2 linked regions of the Mytilus edulis genome follow. The protein of the gene in region 1 interacts with the protein of each later gene in a pairwise test. Links are inferred from orthologs where the notes say so. Each region holds a gene or a part of one and is shown in the gene's direction. Other genes may lie near its edges.

Region 1 (8,407 bases):
AAGGAATACTTTCACGCATGCGTAAGAATACAATACAGGAAGCACCTGTTTAACTCGTGAAAGTTTTGAATAAACACATTAAAGTTCTTTATTTTAAATGGAAATTGTCGAAAGTTTTTTGATGAAAATTTAAATCCATTATGACGAAAATGCCTTCGAATGACGAATCTACGACAAATGAACTTCAGATCGTTGGAAAAATATTAAAATTCAAATGCGAACTGACCGGGTTGTTACATTTTTGATTAATTGACGAAACTAAACTCCTGATTGTTGAAATGACTTGCCGACTGGCTGATTTTCCTGGGGAAATAATTATGATGGTCATTCAATTATGGGGTTTAATAATAATTAACGGATTAGTGACCCATCCGATGGCGATAAGCGGATTAGTTGTAATCACAACTTGTAACACCTGTTAAAAATGTTAATTACCTGGAGGTCATAAACTTGTCAAAAACATGAAGACAGGTAGATTTATAGTTTTTATTGCGAATTTTATTTTACACTTTCAAAATTAAAGTGACGAAATTGATTTGAAATACTTTCGTCAATGAGAAAACCCTTTCGTAAAATACGAAAGTGACGAGCGCTAGCAAAATCACTGCTGAAAGACAAACAAATGGCCAATACAAAGGTAAAATTTAATGAGAAGCTGTCCTGCTTGAACAATTGGCGTCATACAACAATCACTTTTTCATTGTGGCGTCAGACATCTTGTATTACCATGACATCAAAAGCTTACGGAAACCTGTGTAATGTCCAGTAATAACGGACAAATAGCGATAAGTTGTATATCTTGTGCTTTTTTTTTTACTATTTGCAAACAATAATAAAAGGACCTACATGTAAGAGCTACGGTCCTGCAGCTAGTGAAGTAGTGTACCGAAATAACTATCTACATAATGAAGGGTGCAGAAATTTTTAACTTGCTCGTGAAGTAGTGTAGAGAAATAACTGTCTAGGGTCACAGGCACTTGTTTCTATCCATTGGAAGACCCACTATCAACGTATATTTAAATATACGTTGATAGTGGGTCTTCCAATGGATAGAAACAAGTGCCTGTGTCTAGGGTGCTGAATTAACTATGTCCGATTTGACAAGCAGCCGAATCGACTATACCGGGTACGATTTGATCAGAGTCCGATTTAACCAGGTGCCGAAGTGACTAGAAAAATTAAATTACATATCATACGACATAAGCCATAACACATGTTTGTCAGAATCATAAATTCATAGTTCATTCATTGTGCCTTCAATTACCCCTTGAAGTTCTGCCATTCTTCTGGCCCTTATGGCATCCAATTCATCATCAGCCATTTCGTAATGTTCTTTAAACTAATTTATAAGATCTTATAAGGTGAGAAAAATGTGTTTGATTCAGAATCTGAGATGACAACGGAATTTTTATTCTCTAGATTGTGGGTTACACTAATGACTGGACCGAATGACAGGACCGAATGACAGGACCAAATGAAAAATGCTAATAACTTTTTCATTTCTCAAAGGATTGATCTCAAATTTGAAATATAATAAGATTTCATCATTTGATAAATAGATTTAAGAAAAAAATTAAAAAGTTTTGTAAGAAACTTTAGAAAATGTGACATGACCAACTTTGATAATGACAGGACCAACATCGAGAATGACAGGACCAAATAAAAATGCTAATAACTTTTTTGTTTTTCAAAGGAATTATTTCAGATTTGAAATATAAAATGGTATGTCATATTTTGAAACCAAAATGTTGTAAAAAATATAGATTTATTTTCAAAAACTTTCGAAAACGTGACATGACCATCGCTGATTGACAGGACCAACCTCGGCAATGACTGGACCAGATAAAATTGCTAATTTCTCTTTTATTTCTCAAAATATTTTTCTGAAATTTGATATATAATAAGATTTCATCATTTGATAAATAGATTTAAGAAAAAAAAAATTAAAAAAATTGTAAGAAACTTTAGAAAACGTGACATGACCAACTCTGATAATGACATGACCAACATCGACAATGACAGGACCAAAGTAAAATGCTAATAACTTTTTTTATTTTTCAAAGGAATTCTCACAGATTTGAAATATAAAATAATATGTCATATTTTGAAAAATAAATGTTATAAAAAATATAGAAAGTTTAAACGTGACATAACCATCGCTGACTGACAGGACCAACCTCGACAATGACAGGACCAGATGAAATTGCTAATTACTTTTTATTTCTAAAAAATATTTTTCTGAAATTTGAGATATAGTCAGATTTAACCATTTTAGACATAAAAATAGGAATGATATAGGAAAAAAAAATACTAAAAGCTTGCTGTAATGTGACCTGACCAACACTAACAATGACAGGACAAACCTTGACAAGGACAGGACCAAATAAAAATGCTATTCACTTTTTAATTTTGAAAAGGAATTATGTCAGATTTAAAATAAAATGTGATCTCATCTTTTAAAATATCAATTAAAGAAAAAAAAATCTAGATTTTTTTTTATTTTATTGCGAAAACGTGAAATGACCATAGTCCCTACTATAGAAATCCTGGTTGAAATTAATAATAATAATTAAAACACACACATTAAGATTGAATGATTTATAAGCTTTTAGAAAATAAGGGAAAAGGCTAACTTTATTTATCTTTGGTGTAAATATTTATCATATTAATTGATATTTCACACATGCTATATCTTAACTCTTTAACTATGTATTTGGGTTGAGAATAAAGATCATTCATTCATTCATTCATTCAGATTATTTTGTATATTAATTACCGGACATAATCTGACACGTCTGAAAACAATTATAAGGTAACAAACAAAAGGTGTGACATAAGCCATAAATAAGTTGATAAATCCAATAAAGATTGTGATGACAGTAATTAAAATCACATAATAGTTCAAGTCGTTGTTTTAATCAATATTTTCAGAACATTAAATAATTATTTCCATGTATGCTTGAGTATATGCAGGGTATATCTTGATAGTTTCCCCCTCATAATAAATAAACAAATAAACATTTCTTGAAGTATGCCCGACCCTTGCATGCATGATTTCTTGGTAGTTTCAAATATTTTCATAAAATATACTGAATCAAACATTTTCACGGACTACTTTAAAAGGTTTGATACCTTTTCAAAGTGGCTTAAATTGGGCTTCATGATGTCAAGAAATATTATGATGACAATTCAATAAATCTGAATTTATCTAATGAACAATCTCTTAAACTATAAAATGATTATATGTAATTATATATAAATATTTCAAGATCTCTTTCTTAAATATAGTGATCATTCGTGTCTTTTTGTCCTGTGACTCTGCATGTCCTGTGACTCTCTGCCAACATACGTTTAGCATGTTTAGTAGCTAGGTCAAGAATTTTAACCACCATAGAATATATTTTCCTGAATTTATAAGATATATCATACTAATTATGGATCAGAATTGAACAATTTCAGTAAAATCATTGGCCAGATCATAGCCGATGTTGGTCAGGTCACACAACCGCAAGCTTTCAATACGTTTTTTTTTTCTATATTTTTCTTATATGATGTGCAAAATGGTCTTAATTGTCATTATTTCAAATTTGAGAGGAATATTCTGACAAATGTTATGCATAATTAGCATTTTTATTTGGTCCTGTCATTAATTGTCGAGGATTGTCCTGTTATTGACAACGTTAACCAGGTCACATTTCAGCAAGCTTTTTATACTTTTTCTTATATTTATGTATAAAATGGTATAATCTTCACATATTTTAATTTTCAGAGAAATACTCTGCGAAATAAAAGAATAATTAGCAATTTCATTTGTTCAGGTCTTTGTCGAGGTTGGTCATGTCAGTCAGCGATGGGATCATGTCACGATTTTGAAAGTTTTTGAAAATAAATTATTATTTTTTATAACATAAATGTTTCAAAATGTGACATATCATTTTATGTTTCAAATCTGAGATAATTCCTTTGAAAAATAAAAAAGTTATTAGCATTTTTATTTGGTCCTGTTATTGTCGAAGTTGGTCCTGTCATTATCAGAGTTGGTCATGTCACGTTTTCTAAAGTTTCTTATATATTTTTTGTGTATTTTTTTTTAAATTTATTTGATAAATGATGAAATCTTATTATATTTAAAATTTTAGAAAAATATTTTGAGAAATAAAAGAGAAATTAGCAATTTCATCTGGTCCGGTCATTGTCGATGTTGGTCCTGTCAATCAGCGATGGTCATGTCACGTTTTCGAAAGTTTTTGAAAATAAATCTATATTTTTTACAACATTTTGGTTTCAAAATATGACATACCATTTTATATTTCAAATCTGAAATAATTCCTTTGAAAAACAAAAAAGTTATTAGCATTTTTATTTGGTCCTGTCATTCTCGATGTTGGTCCTGTCATTATCAAAGTTGGTCATGTCACATTTTCTAAAGTTTCTTACAAAACTTTTTAATTTTTTTCTTAAATCTATTTATCAAATGATGAAATCTTATTATATTTCAAATTTGAGATCAATCCTTTGAGAAATGAAAAAGTTATTAGCATTTTTCATTTGGTCCTGTCATTCGGTCCTGTCATTCGGTCCAGTCATTAGTGTAACCCCTAGATTGTTCGTGAAGAACACAGATTCACCCCGAAAATCCGAAAATATTGTGTAAATAATTTCTAAACCAAACACGGAAATGGCAGAAAATTTTTATGTTGAACTACTCCACAATTTAACAGCAAATTTAGCAATAGCAATAGATCAAGTGAAAGGTAACATGACCACTCACCAGTAGATAGATACCAGATAAAAGGAAAAACAAAATAAGGACAATTGTCAAGCACACTTGACACTTTTTCAGTTTTTAATTTTTATGATGACCATGTGTGTTCACAGGAGTTTGAAATCCTATCAATAAGGGGGTAAAAATATACCAAAGTCGACTATCACAGTAGAGCTTATCTCGTAGATCAATCTTCTGAAATCTCTTTGGGTTGTCTGTTCACGACAAGAAGCCCGGTGGTTCTCTCCGAGTACTTCGGCTTCCTCCATCATAATAACAGACTTCCCGGTGTCCTACTCGCTCCCTTGGGCGGTGTTGGTTGGGGATTGTTCTGGTGGTGGGATAATATTGGAAAAGGACACATTTCCATTAATCTTTAGGGAGTGTACATATATCCCCTGTACCCTTGCAGTCAATCAAGGGGTGTGTCTAAACAGGCGGAATCTTGAAGTACATACATACATACATGTAGTCCGAGATAACTCCAACTGCCAGACAAGCTGGGGCCGGGGTCCCACGGCCCCAGCTTGTCTGGCAAAACAGCCGTTGGACGTCAGAGTAATCTCGGACTAACATACATGCTGGTGTCTGTTGTGAAAATTTTATATGTAGCTCTGTATATTGTGATATATGTATATTTATGACTGGGAAAATGCACAACAAGAAAGCACACACAAACATAGACTTGTTTAAAAAAGGCACCGTTTAAATATGATTATGATGCATTAACATTCAATAATTTAATGCTTAGTCTATCTCTCCCATCTTCCCGGGCCAAGGGTTAAGATCCACTTATCAGAGAGGAGGGAAGTGGATCGTAACCCTTGGCTAGCGAAGATGAATTCTCCACCCTCTGCCATAATGAAATCTCATCATCTTAAAGGCTTTAATCTGTAAAGAAGACAATTTTTTTTAACTTTGTATGAAGACTACACTGTCACTGTATACAACTCTTCAATTAGGGTAGAAATGCCCTTTACCATGTTTACCGTCAGGCGTCAAATGGTCAGCATCAAATTGGTTAGGCACTAGCTAAGAGATATAAAAAGATCTAAAATTTAATTTTATTTGTTCAATCATTAATGAAAGTGAAATTGTGAAATAATAATTTCACTTTTAGCAGCCAAAATGGTTCAATTTTATCAAATTAAGCTATTAAAGAAACATTGATAATGAATCATTCACTTGCAAGTATATAATTTTAACCTAAAATATAAAATCAAACAGACCTATAAATATTCAATTGCACAAGTTCCCTTTTCTATTTATATCTATAATTATGTTTATGTTCCAGACCATATGAGTATTTGGACCGTACACATACTTTTTCAAAATACTCATACAGTCGGACCGTACGTGTATTTATTTAAGATGTCATGTTTATTAGATAGAATTGTATATTACTAATCAACAAAAAGAAATCTGTAATTAATCTTAAAAGTTTAAATGTTAATGAATTCAAAACTTAATAATTTAACTATTTAAAAAGGTCACGTTAATTCAATCTGTTCATCTGTTTAGCTCTTGTATTTATCATGTCAGTAACACATGATATTTAATTTTGCTCACTGAAATTGAAGTTATATATATATATGAGTGTTGAAAGAAAAGATTTAACAATATTTAGGAACTTTACTTCAAAAAACTGTCAAAGATACTAGACAAAATCTATAAAAAAAAATCTGTTTGAAAATATAATTAAAACCTGTCGAAAATTAATGCAAAGAATGAATACAGTAGCTTTGTTACTCTAATAATACCAGTTGTTAATAGTATTTTTCCAGATTAGTGTGTAGGGTTGATGACATATTTCATGTTATTCATCTAATTGCAAGAAAACAAATTTGTAATTTCGATAAAAGATTTTGATAAATGTTTATCTTAAATTAACCCATATTGTTCAAATACATATATTGTCTAGTTCATCCTATATATACCGTATAAGTATACCCATATGGTTCGACTGTACACGTATGGTCTGACAGTACGAGTATACCCATATGGTCCGGACTGTATGCGTAGAGTACAAATACTCACATGGTCTGGAACATTTATATTGCTTTTATGGTCATCGGAGGTCAACTCAATAGTTAATTAGATGGCCTCTAGATTAAAATACACATGAAATGAAGCTACATATCATTTAGCCTGTGCCCTGTAAATTGTTTATTTTAGACTTTTGATAGTTTGGAATAAATGTTTTACATTGTTATGAATAAAATATGAGAATTTGTGTCAAAACAGTTAACATGAATTTGACAGCTAGTGCCCCTTTAAAATTTAAATGTGATTTGTCTAAATATCCTTATCATGATTAGTCAGAGGTCTCAAATAATTGTCATTATCATTATTTTTGGACAAAATTTAACGTGATTCGCCAAATCATTAAATCTTAAAAGACTTTTAATCATCATAAAAAAAGAGTACATATTATCATCGTGAACCAAAACTTACTGTACATGTCATTTATATTTTACAGGAGGAGAAACTAAAGAAACTGATGGTATTGAGTTTAATGCAGAAGATTTCTGGAACAGATTAGGTGAGTTATTGCACAGTTGAGAACATGTCCTGGGAGAGGTCTGGTATACAGGACATATTTAAAATCTTGATATATTAAACAGAGAAATCAAAAAATTGCTACTTAATTTTATGAAAATGACTAGTTTAAACTCGAAGAAAAATCAAATACTTAAAGCAAGTTCTATTGAAGTAATTGTTGATGGCCATATTTATAGTACAGATACCTTTAGTTGCTTTTATTCATGTCATTTTGACTTTGTTTAATAGATGTCTGATTGGCAATCATACCATGTCTTATTTTATGTAATACATTTAATAAGATGAAGGTTATAAAATCACCTCACTTTGAGAAGGTATGGCTTAAATTATAAACTCATTGTGGAGTCAAGACAAGAACAATAACATTCAGAATTTTTTTTTTGTCTATATAAATCTGTACAGTTTTGATGGAAAATATTAGTTGTGAGTTAATTTTTTGTGGCCAAATTTACGCCTCTTTGCTGTTTCTCTTTTGTCTGTCTTGAGTCCATAATACACTAGTCTCATGCTTAAATACCACGAGTTCTATTCAATAAAAGAACAGAGTTCCAATGTTCCTCACTTTGCACATGTATATTTTATCTACCCAAGGTACAAAGGCAATAACTAAATAAAACATCTTTTTTGTGTAGCGCTAACAAGGCCATTTTCGATAAATTTTCAAACCAAAAAATTTGAATACAAAGAAGGTGTAAACACTTGTGGAGTGGTCACTAAAAGAGACCAACAAAAAGTAGCCAAATCCCCACGATTTAGGTCCTTGGGAAGGAGCCTTAGATTTTTGTAATAATTTCTAAATTAACAGGAGAATATAGTCAAAGGTTTTAAAATTATGACATATATCTATTCTTATGTTTTGAATGAATTATACCTATGTCTTGTGGGATGTAAACTATGTGGCTGTTGCATGATAAATTTATTTGATAATATCTTGGTTGTTTTTAGGATTGGTATTTAAAGCTATAGCACATGAAGCTACAAAATTATCCCTGACATTTTCTTCCCCTCCATTACCTTCTTCTCAGGTAAGTGTATATATCATATGAAGTTTTATTGATTGTTTTCTCTTGCCTTCAATCA
Region 2 (9,059 bases), on another chromosome or scaffold:
GTTATACTGTTATAGTAAGTTTACCCCTTGCTTACAAATTATTCTTTATTCATTTAAAAATCTAAAATAAATATTTTCCTCTGGATGTTAAGCAAACAAAAATCACTCCATCATTTAATAATTATCATTACTTAATTATATAGTGAATGAAACGGTTATATATATTGTCTAAATCATTGGCATCATTCTATTTGAATCTTATTTATATCAAAATTATTATTTTATAGATAAACTGTAGGTGAAAGTTTCATTTCTGATCAGAACTAGCTGTTTGAAATATATTAAAGAAACACAGATATTTATGTGCATGATAAGGGTACTTTAACTACTTATAGTGTCCTGAAACTTCATAAACCTAAATCAAAATTAATTACCTTAAACCAAAATAAATGGTAAAACGAATTTCATAATCACATTTATTGCTAAAAAGGCACAATGTATAATTACTTTATGTAAATAAAACTGTTCTAGAAATATTTACATTGTTATCAGTAAAAATTAAATCAGAAGATTAACCATTTACTTTTTCCAAATAAACTGTATAAGGTGAATTTTCGAATCAAGCTAACACATGAAATTTAATTCAAACTAAATCAAATCTTTTAGTTAAAGTTAGTTATTACTTTTCCCCCAGATAAATAAACAGACTAATAAGAAGGTAGTAATGGGAGTACCTTATTATGAACAGGTAAAAGTTCTTGCCAAATGACATTAAGGGAAGTTTTTGATATGGGACGATATAATGTACATTTTCTTTTCGACAGTAACATTAATAAAACCTCTGAGAAATCACAATAAGGATATTTTGACAACTCAAAAATAAAATTTTAACAAATTTGACGCTAACGGTAGCCTTAAATGACAGTTTAATGCCTGACGGTAAAGGACATTTAATCTAATAACAGCTACAAGCACACCCCTTATCACTGTTAAGAATCTACAACATCCTAGTGATGGTACACAAATGTGAAATAATAACTGAATTTAAAACATCCGTGGTATTCTTACTAAGCTTCAGATTAAAAAGTTAAGAATTGGTATAAATTTGTAAATGCTTGATTTGAATATTGATAAATATAATGTCTACCAATGTTAGGTTAGCAAAGAACATGCTATATGAAAGAATTGTTTCTAATCATCAACTGTTGACCTTCTCTAAATAATAATGTACAGATTGTTAAACTAACTTACATTTTATCCTAGGGCTCTTGGTCATAAAATTTAACTTGGTACTCAAAGTACAAAATTTTGCTCGAAACACAAGGACCAGAATTTTTATTGGTTGAATTTTGAGTTTGAATATCAGATAAGCATTTTTTTTTATGACTGGCTTGTCTGAACTATTTTCATGTCTTCTTACTGTTGATACATGCATACATATAGTATTACATGATATAAGGTACAATTTACCAGGCATCAACAACAATAGTAAGTGATTGCTTCATCAAAAGTACATTAATAGATTTTTACAAAAACATCTCCAAATTACTGACAATGATATTGACATTGAGAGCAAAATATGAACCAGCTCAACATAATATTTAAAATCTGACACATAATCTATTCTAACGTTTTTCAGTTTGTGTCCTTTACTATCAATTTTCATTTGTCTCCCACAGCTTGTCTTGTCCTATTTTCTGCTGTTTCGTCAGGCTATTGTATCTTTAACACATTTAATGTTTACATTCTATTTTCATTATATATTGTATTTCTAGATTAATATTTGTAACAAAAAAATTGTTTCTATGCATTGATTATTGTTTCCTAGGCAGTTGGAGTGAAATTCCCCTTTACTGGCTTTAGAAAAATCATTTCATACAATGTAGTAAACAGGGTCTCTCACTCACAAACTTTACATAAAAGTCCTTCCGACTTTATTTTCTATTCAGTTTGTGAGTTAATCGCCCCTGTTTACACATCAATAACCTCTAAAAAAAATGTGTTTAATCCTAAATGTATACTGTCTAAAATTTTCCCCAATCAGTTAAAATGTCATACACCCACATATCATTATAAATGTCTTGGTATGAAAGGTTTACTGCTGTTTGGTTGATTTCAGTAAATAAAAGAGTGGCACACTTACAAAATATATGTATGTTGACAAGGTATACATGTACAATAAATTAATATCTCAACCTCTTTACAAGCAGAGATCATTAGAGGGTACTCTTGAAAAGAAGGGTCTGGTCTAATAAAGTCCTTTTGTTTTGAATGGGAAGTACTTCAAAGTATATTAACAGTTGTATTTAAAACACTTGATATACAAATTGCAAACAAAATGTTTACATTTTCTCTTCGTGTTCAAAAGTTATCTTTATTTGAAGTGTTGTTGATGGGCAGGTTTGTATTTATCTAAACTAACTAAAGAATTGTATAATATTTTACAAATTAATTTATAAAAGCCTTTCTTACCTGGGACATGATATTTTGTACTCTGTAGATTGTGAGTTTGAGCAAATCTTTCTGATAGCATGAAAATAGGTCGCTGCATCATTATAAACTTGTTATTGCCTATATCCAGTTTTTTTTGGGAAAATGTAAAAGTTCCAAGGGCTGCTATATTCACACCCTGAAAAGCAGATAAAATATAAATTTAAAACAATTTATATTCCAACAACAGAACACTTTGTATAAAAATAATAATAATCTAATCTACAAATATTGAATGAAAGATCCATGTTGAAAAATAATCAAAAATTGTATAATTGATCATGGTGTCATTGGTGATGAAATTAAAACACATCCAACACTTGAAACCTGATACTAAATTTCAGGAAGATCTGCAATTCCGACAAAAATGCTAAGAAAATTCAATGGGAAAAATTAAAAACAGATGGAAGGACTAAAAGACGGGTAAAGATAGACTTTATAATTTGTATCATTTACACTCACTACATGTCATAAATACATCAATACTGTACATTGTAAGTGTTAAAGATACTCAGAATAAACAAATTTTAGGATGTTGGGTTTTATTTAATTATGGCAAACAAGATTTGTATTCTATAAAAAAGTAATTTACATAAATCATATTTTAATTAAAATTTTGTTACAATCACAAACAGGTTATATACATGTAACATATATATATATATATATATATGTAACATAAATAGATTGAATGTTGATTGTTGCTATTTTTAGACATTATATATATGTATCTACATTACATATAGTAACATATATATATGTAATGTAGATAAAAATAAATAAATGAGATGTAAGTTCAGTGAGCATGAGACAACAGACAATACATTACCATCACTAAGTTAAATGAATTGATGTACAGTAACTACAGTCATAAGAAATAAAAGAGAAAATCTCAGCTTCAATTTCTGAAGAGGTACAACTTCAGCCAAAAGCAATGTCACAAGTGGCAAGAGGCGATTTTTCTGGCTTCAACTTTTTTGGAGCCTGAAAAGCCTATTACTTTACAATTTAACAAAGTTTTCGTTTTTTATGCCATTACTTGGGAGTAAAACACAATATAATAAAAGCTGTTAAAATCTGGATTATTTTCATTACTTATCATGCTTATAAAAACCATTATTGCAATTGTAACTTAATTTGTAATAGGAAGAATTTGGTAGGAACTACATGTAAAAGTAGGTACAATGTAGTTAGGAGAGCAACCATCATGAGAGATCAAAATTGCATGAAGAAGTCAATTGCCTCCAAATAAATACTTCTAATGGTCAATGTTCATGGGGAACACTCTTTAAATTAAACAAAAGTTGCAACTTTTGAAGAATCATGTTTGTGTGTTTGCAAACGAAATTATGTTCATTACAACCCTAATAATCCAACACCTTATCCCTGCTATTAATGGGTTGTCCAAACAGAAACTAAAAATTCAGTGAAAATCTACTTGTAATACAAACCTTTTGTTGGTTCATCTGACTTTCAATGAATCTAGATACATTTTCCCACACATTTGTTAAATCTGAAATACAGAAAAAGTAAATATTAATAGAGAAATCCCCATATTCATCCAATTTAAGAGTGCATAAACATGATAAATTGTGTTCCATGTTTTAAAGTTGCCAAAATGCTCTGTTAGTACATAATACATGTACATTGAACAACAAATTTATTAATTTTAAAACCATTTTGTCCCAGGTTAGAGTTTTATTTTTATCACTGTTCGGTGTGAGCCAAAGCTGTACTCTGACCTATAATTGTTTATTCTTAATAACAATGATAAATTGTCACTTGGAAGGAGAGATTGTCCATTGGCACTCATACTACATCTTCTTATTTACATAAATATAATAACAATAACAATAGGATGTAGGACAGGACCTGCATGTATATAACTATGAATACATACATGTACATGGTACATGTATGAGGCCCCTCATGGGGGGGTCCTAGTAATCACATAATCACCATTTTTTTGCCAATATAATCACATAATCATTAAATATTTGCTTATCTTTAGTAATCAAATAATCATAAACTAAAAATACAGTCCTAGGTAATCAAATAATCATGAAATATTTGGCTTAATAATCAAATAATCATTAAAAAAACGGCCAAGTAATCACATAATCAAAAACCCCATGAGGGCCCTCATGTATAATTATAGTTATATTTCAATTTACATAAAAAACAAAATAATAAACAAATAAATGAAATATGATGAAAAGCAACAAATAGCGCTGAATGAGTCACCGACACTGTCATCCTGGGTACTACATGTATATTATACTCTAAGAAAGTACACATACAAGTTGAAATAAAAGTTCTGTTTATCAGGTTAACTCTCAAAAACTAAACGGGTACTCAAACTAGATATCAAATTCTGAATACTTTTCTTCCTTGCTAGTTAGCTACCCTGGGTATTTTTACACACATAAAAAATATGTAGGGGAACAATTTGATCAAGCAGAAGTACACATAGAACTTTCTTTATGTCCCAATGGATAAAATGAGCTGTTCAGAGTTTGTCTCTATCCACTTTCATGATTATGTTTTGTGTTTGCCCCTTTACTTTTGTGTGACTTATTCTGTTATGTTTGCCTATGTAAGTAAATGACAATCCTTGGTGTTCAACTAAAGTTCGAGACTGGTATTGTTGTTTGTATAGTTTGGGTTTTATCAATATCATTCAACTTACCGTCATCTGATAGAGCGTTTATGCTTGAAAAGCGATTTTTCTTTGCATCAGCAAAGATTCCTTGCATTTCTGCCATTACTGCAATAATTTTGTTTTCAAGCGATATCAGGCTTTCATTATTTTATCTGTTTAAATGCATATTGAGTTCACATTCTACAGTGTACATTAGTGTCCATAGTATAAACGTTGCCAAGGAAAAGATATTTTGATTGGCTATCACCAAACATCACAGGCAGAGCTACTAAAAAATCCGGATAAATTTGTTTCGAAGAAATTTAGAAATAGATCATAAATATGTATTATTACCAATAATTTATCTTAAAATTAGTAAGAGAAATTGAAAACTTTAAATAAAATGAAAAACAAATATTTTATGTAATGCGAAAATATTGCTTCACCATAGTCATTAAAACGTTTAAGACAAGGTGAATTCATGAGTAAGTTATGTAATGAATAAATACCCTGAAGACTCGCAATACGTCATTTTCGTAAACAACTTTGTTTTTATTTGTCGAAGGTAAATGGATAGACTAGGGTTAAGATAGTGTCATTGAAAGCTTTAATCACCTAAAAACTACCCTTCTATTCTCTTGGGGTGCCATAAAGATTATTTAATCTGACCGGATGGGTATGATAAATGACAGTTACATGTTATTTGACTGGTCCACGTACTCCTAAATATCCTTGTCAAATATGCTCCAAAGCGGTAACATGGAAACAGAGAGGGGTGGCATGTGATGATTGCAGTAAATGGTACCACGCAGACTGCATGTTAATATCTACACCTGTATATAACGCACTGGCCAATTCCAACATTTCATGGCACTGTGTAAATTGTGGAATGCCGAATTTTTCGTCATCATTATTTGAGTCCTTCATCATCGATTCAACTTATAACTCGTTCCAATCTTTATCCAGTGAAACATCAATATCAAGCCCAGGACCACCCACATACTCATCGTCACCTAAGCCGAAAAGCAAAAAAGACCAGCAGAAACAAAACAAGAAAGGTAAAAACACAAAAATCGTAGTTGTGAACTTTCAAAGTATTAAAAATAAAAAAGAAGAATTACTGAACATGATAGACACTTCCAATCCCGAAATTATATTAGGGACTGAAACATGGTTAAGACCAGACATATTAAGCTCTGAGATATTTCCACCACAATACTCAGTTTATAGAAAAGATCGTTCTGATGGATACGGAGGTGTATTGATAGCTGTAAGAGATATCATCATCAGCGAAGAACTACCCGTACAAAGTGACACAGAATCATTATATATTAGAGTAACAACACCTGACAGTAAATCCATCATAGTAGGATGTCTCTATAGACCACCCAGTAGCGATATCACCTACATGGAAAAAATGTGCAACACCACAGAAGAAATATATAAAGAGAATAAATCGTCTATATTATGGCTAGGAGGAGACATAAACCTTCCTGATATTGACTGGAAATCCAATTCAGTATGCGGCAACCAATATTCTACACAACTCAATAATAGGTTCGTAGATATGGTTAATAACTGCTGCCTAGACCAAGTGGTAACATTTCCCACTAGAGGATCCGCAACACTCGATATTTTCCTCACAAACAGACCATCCTTGGTAAATAGATGCGAGCCAATTCCTGGAATAGGCGACCACGACATCGTCTTCATTGATAGTAATGCCATCGCAATGCATCCAAAACCAACACAAAGAAAAATTTACATCTGGAAGAGAGCAGACATAGAAAAAATGAAATCAGATGCACAGGAACTATCTGAAAAATTTCATGGCTTGTATAACGCTCAGAGCTCAATATCAGAGATGTGGGAGTTCATAAAAACAGGACTCAAGAACATTCAAGACAAAAACGTACCATCAAAAATGTCATCAACAAGATTCCATCAACCTTGGATAAATGGCACAATAAAACGTATTACACGACGGAAAAAGAAAGCTTTTAAAAAAGCCCAAACAACAAAAACAACAAAAGACATCAAGAGATACAAAACTATCAAAAAGAGCTCACAGAAAGAATGTAAGAAAGCCTATTCAACATATATCCACGACATTATAAGCCCAGAGCAGAAATCCAACCCAAAGAAGTTCTGGAGCTTCATAAAGAATAAAAGATGCGAAAATGGAGGAGTAGCACCACTTAGAAACACAGATGGGCTCACATACTCAGACAACAAGATGAAGGCAAACATACTTAACAACCAGTTTTCCTCAGTATTCAACAGCAATGAAGACAAATCTACCATAAAGAAAATGAAAACAAAGCCGTACCCAGAGATGAAAAACATCACTATCTCGGAAAACGGAATACACAAATTACTTTCAAACCTCAACATACACAAAGCATCTGGGCCAGATGAAATTTCTACAAGATTATTGAAATCAATAGCGCCTGATATATCATCAATACTTACCACCTTTTTCCAAGCCTCTGTTGATCAAGGCACATTACCATCTGACTGGAAAAATGCAAACGTTGTCCCAATATTCAAGAAAGGGGATCGTAGCCAGGCATCAAACTACCGACCTGTATCATTAACTGCAATTCTATGCAAATTATTGGAGCATATCATCTGTACCAATATCATAAAACACCTTGAATGTCACTCCATCTTGACCGATGCTCAACACGGCTTTAGAAAAGAACGGTCTTGTGAATCTCAACTAATTCTCACAATTCAAGACCTAGCAAAGAACATCGACATTAAAGAGCAAATAGATCTCATCCTCTTAGACTTTTCAAAGGCATTTGACAAAGTCCCACATGAGCGACTACTGTACAAGATCGACCACTATGGCATAAGAGGGACAACAATAGACTGGTTGAGAAATTTTCTGGACGACAGACAGCAATGTGTACTCCTGGAAGGAGAATCTTCAGAAACCTCACCAGTGCAGTCTGGAGTTCCACAAGGTAGTGTGCTTGGCCCTCTGATGTTTCTCATTTTCATAAATGACCTTCCAGAGTATGTGTCAGCATCAAGCGTTAGACTTTTCGCAGACGACTGTGTCCTCTACCGCCAAATAAGAAACCAAGAAGATGCGAACACCCTTCAGAACGACCTAAATGGACTACAACAATGGGAGGCAGACTGGCAGATGGAATTCCACCCCCAAAAATGCCAACTCCTAAGAGTAACAACAAAACGGAACACGATTAAGGCGAACTACACCATACATGGCCATGTCCTAGAAGAGGTTGACTCGGCGAAATATCTTGGCCTCTCTATACACAAAACATTGAGTTGGAACAAACATATAGACAACATCGCAAAGAAAGCTAACTCGACCAGAGCTTTTCTTCAAAGAAACATCAAAAACTGTCCTAGTGAAACAAAAGCCTTATGCTATCAAACGCTTGTAAGACCACTCATGGAATACTCTAGCACCATCTGGGATCCAGCTACTAAGGACAATATAAACAAATTAGAAGCCATACAACGACGATGCGCACGATTTGTACTGAATGATTATAGAAGAACAAGCAGTGTAACATCAATGCTACAAACTTTAAATTGGGATACGTTACAGGAAAGAAGAGCTAAATGTAAAGCCATCATGTTTTATAGGGTAGTGCACAAACTCATTGCTATACCATCTATAAACTTACAGCCAGTAACAACAACAGTACGAGGGCACAAAGAACGATTCCTTGTTCCTTTTGCCAGGACTCAAGTATATCGATACTCGTTTTTCCCAGACACCATCAGAATCTGGAATGGACTGCCACAACAACTAGTAAGCTGCACAACCCTTGATTCATTCAAAAGGGGCGTGCAAGTGGTCCAGCTTCGATAGATGTCCAACCATGTTTTTAACCTTATTTTAAAGAATCACCGTTTCACTGTAGATATTTCGCACCTACCCGCACATTTGTTGTTCTCACATCGAACATGTACATAAAACAGTACGATAATACTCCCCTGGGAG

Evidence for each region.
Region 2: the proteins of cyclin-D1-binding protein 1 homolog (region 1) and pre-mRNA-splicing factor SYF2-like interact in binary tests that used the Homo sapiens proteins (3 or more experiments, as listed by UniProt). The link is inferred for Mytilus edulis from reciprocal best matches to the Homo sapiens genes CCNDBP1 and SYF2.

What each region holds. Positions count from the first base shown.
Region 1 is NC_092348.1:92,450,743-92,459,149, forward strand, and holds the start of cyclin-D1-binding protein 1 homolog, read left to right. Parts: upstream 1-4,626; 5' UTR 4,627-4,678; coding exon 4,679-4,754; intron 4,755-7,244; coding exon 7,245-7,307; intron 7,308-8,272; coding exon 8,273-8,352; intron 8,353-8,407. Other genes in the region: programmed cell death protein 5-like, read right to left, coding at 1,265-1,321. UniProt on the Homo sapiens protein: May negatively regulate cell cycle progression. May act at least in part via inhibition of the cyclin-D1/CDK4 complex, thereby preventing phosphorylation of RB1 and blocking E2F-dependent transcription.
Region 2 is NC_092353.1:23,096,011-23,105,069, forward strand, and holds the start of pre-mRNA-splicing factor SYF2-like, read left to right. Parts: upstream 1-5,521; 5' UTR 5,522-5,552; coding exon 5,553-5,556; exon of another isoform or gene 5,557-5,743; coding exon of another isoform or gene 5,744-5,747; intron 5,748-9,059. Other genes in the region: coiled-coil domain-containing protein 81-like, read right to left, coding at 2,413-2,569, 3,882-3,943, 5,120-5,195. UniProt on the Homo sapiens protein: Involved in pre-mRNA splicing as component of the spliceosome.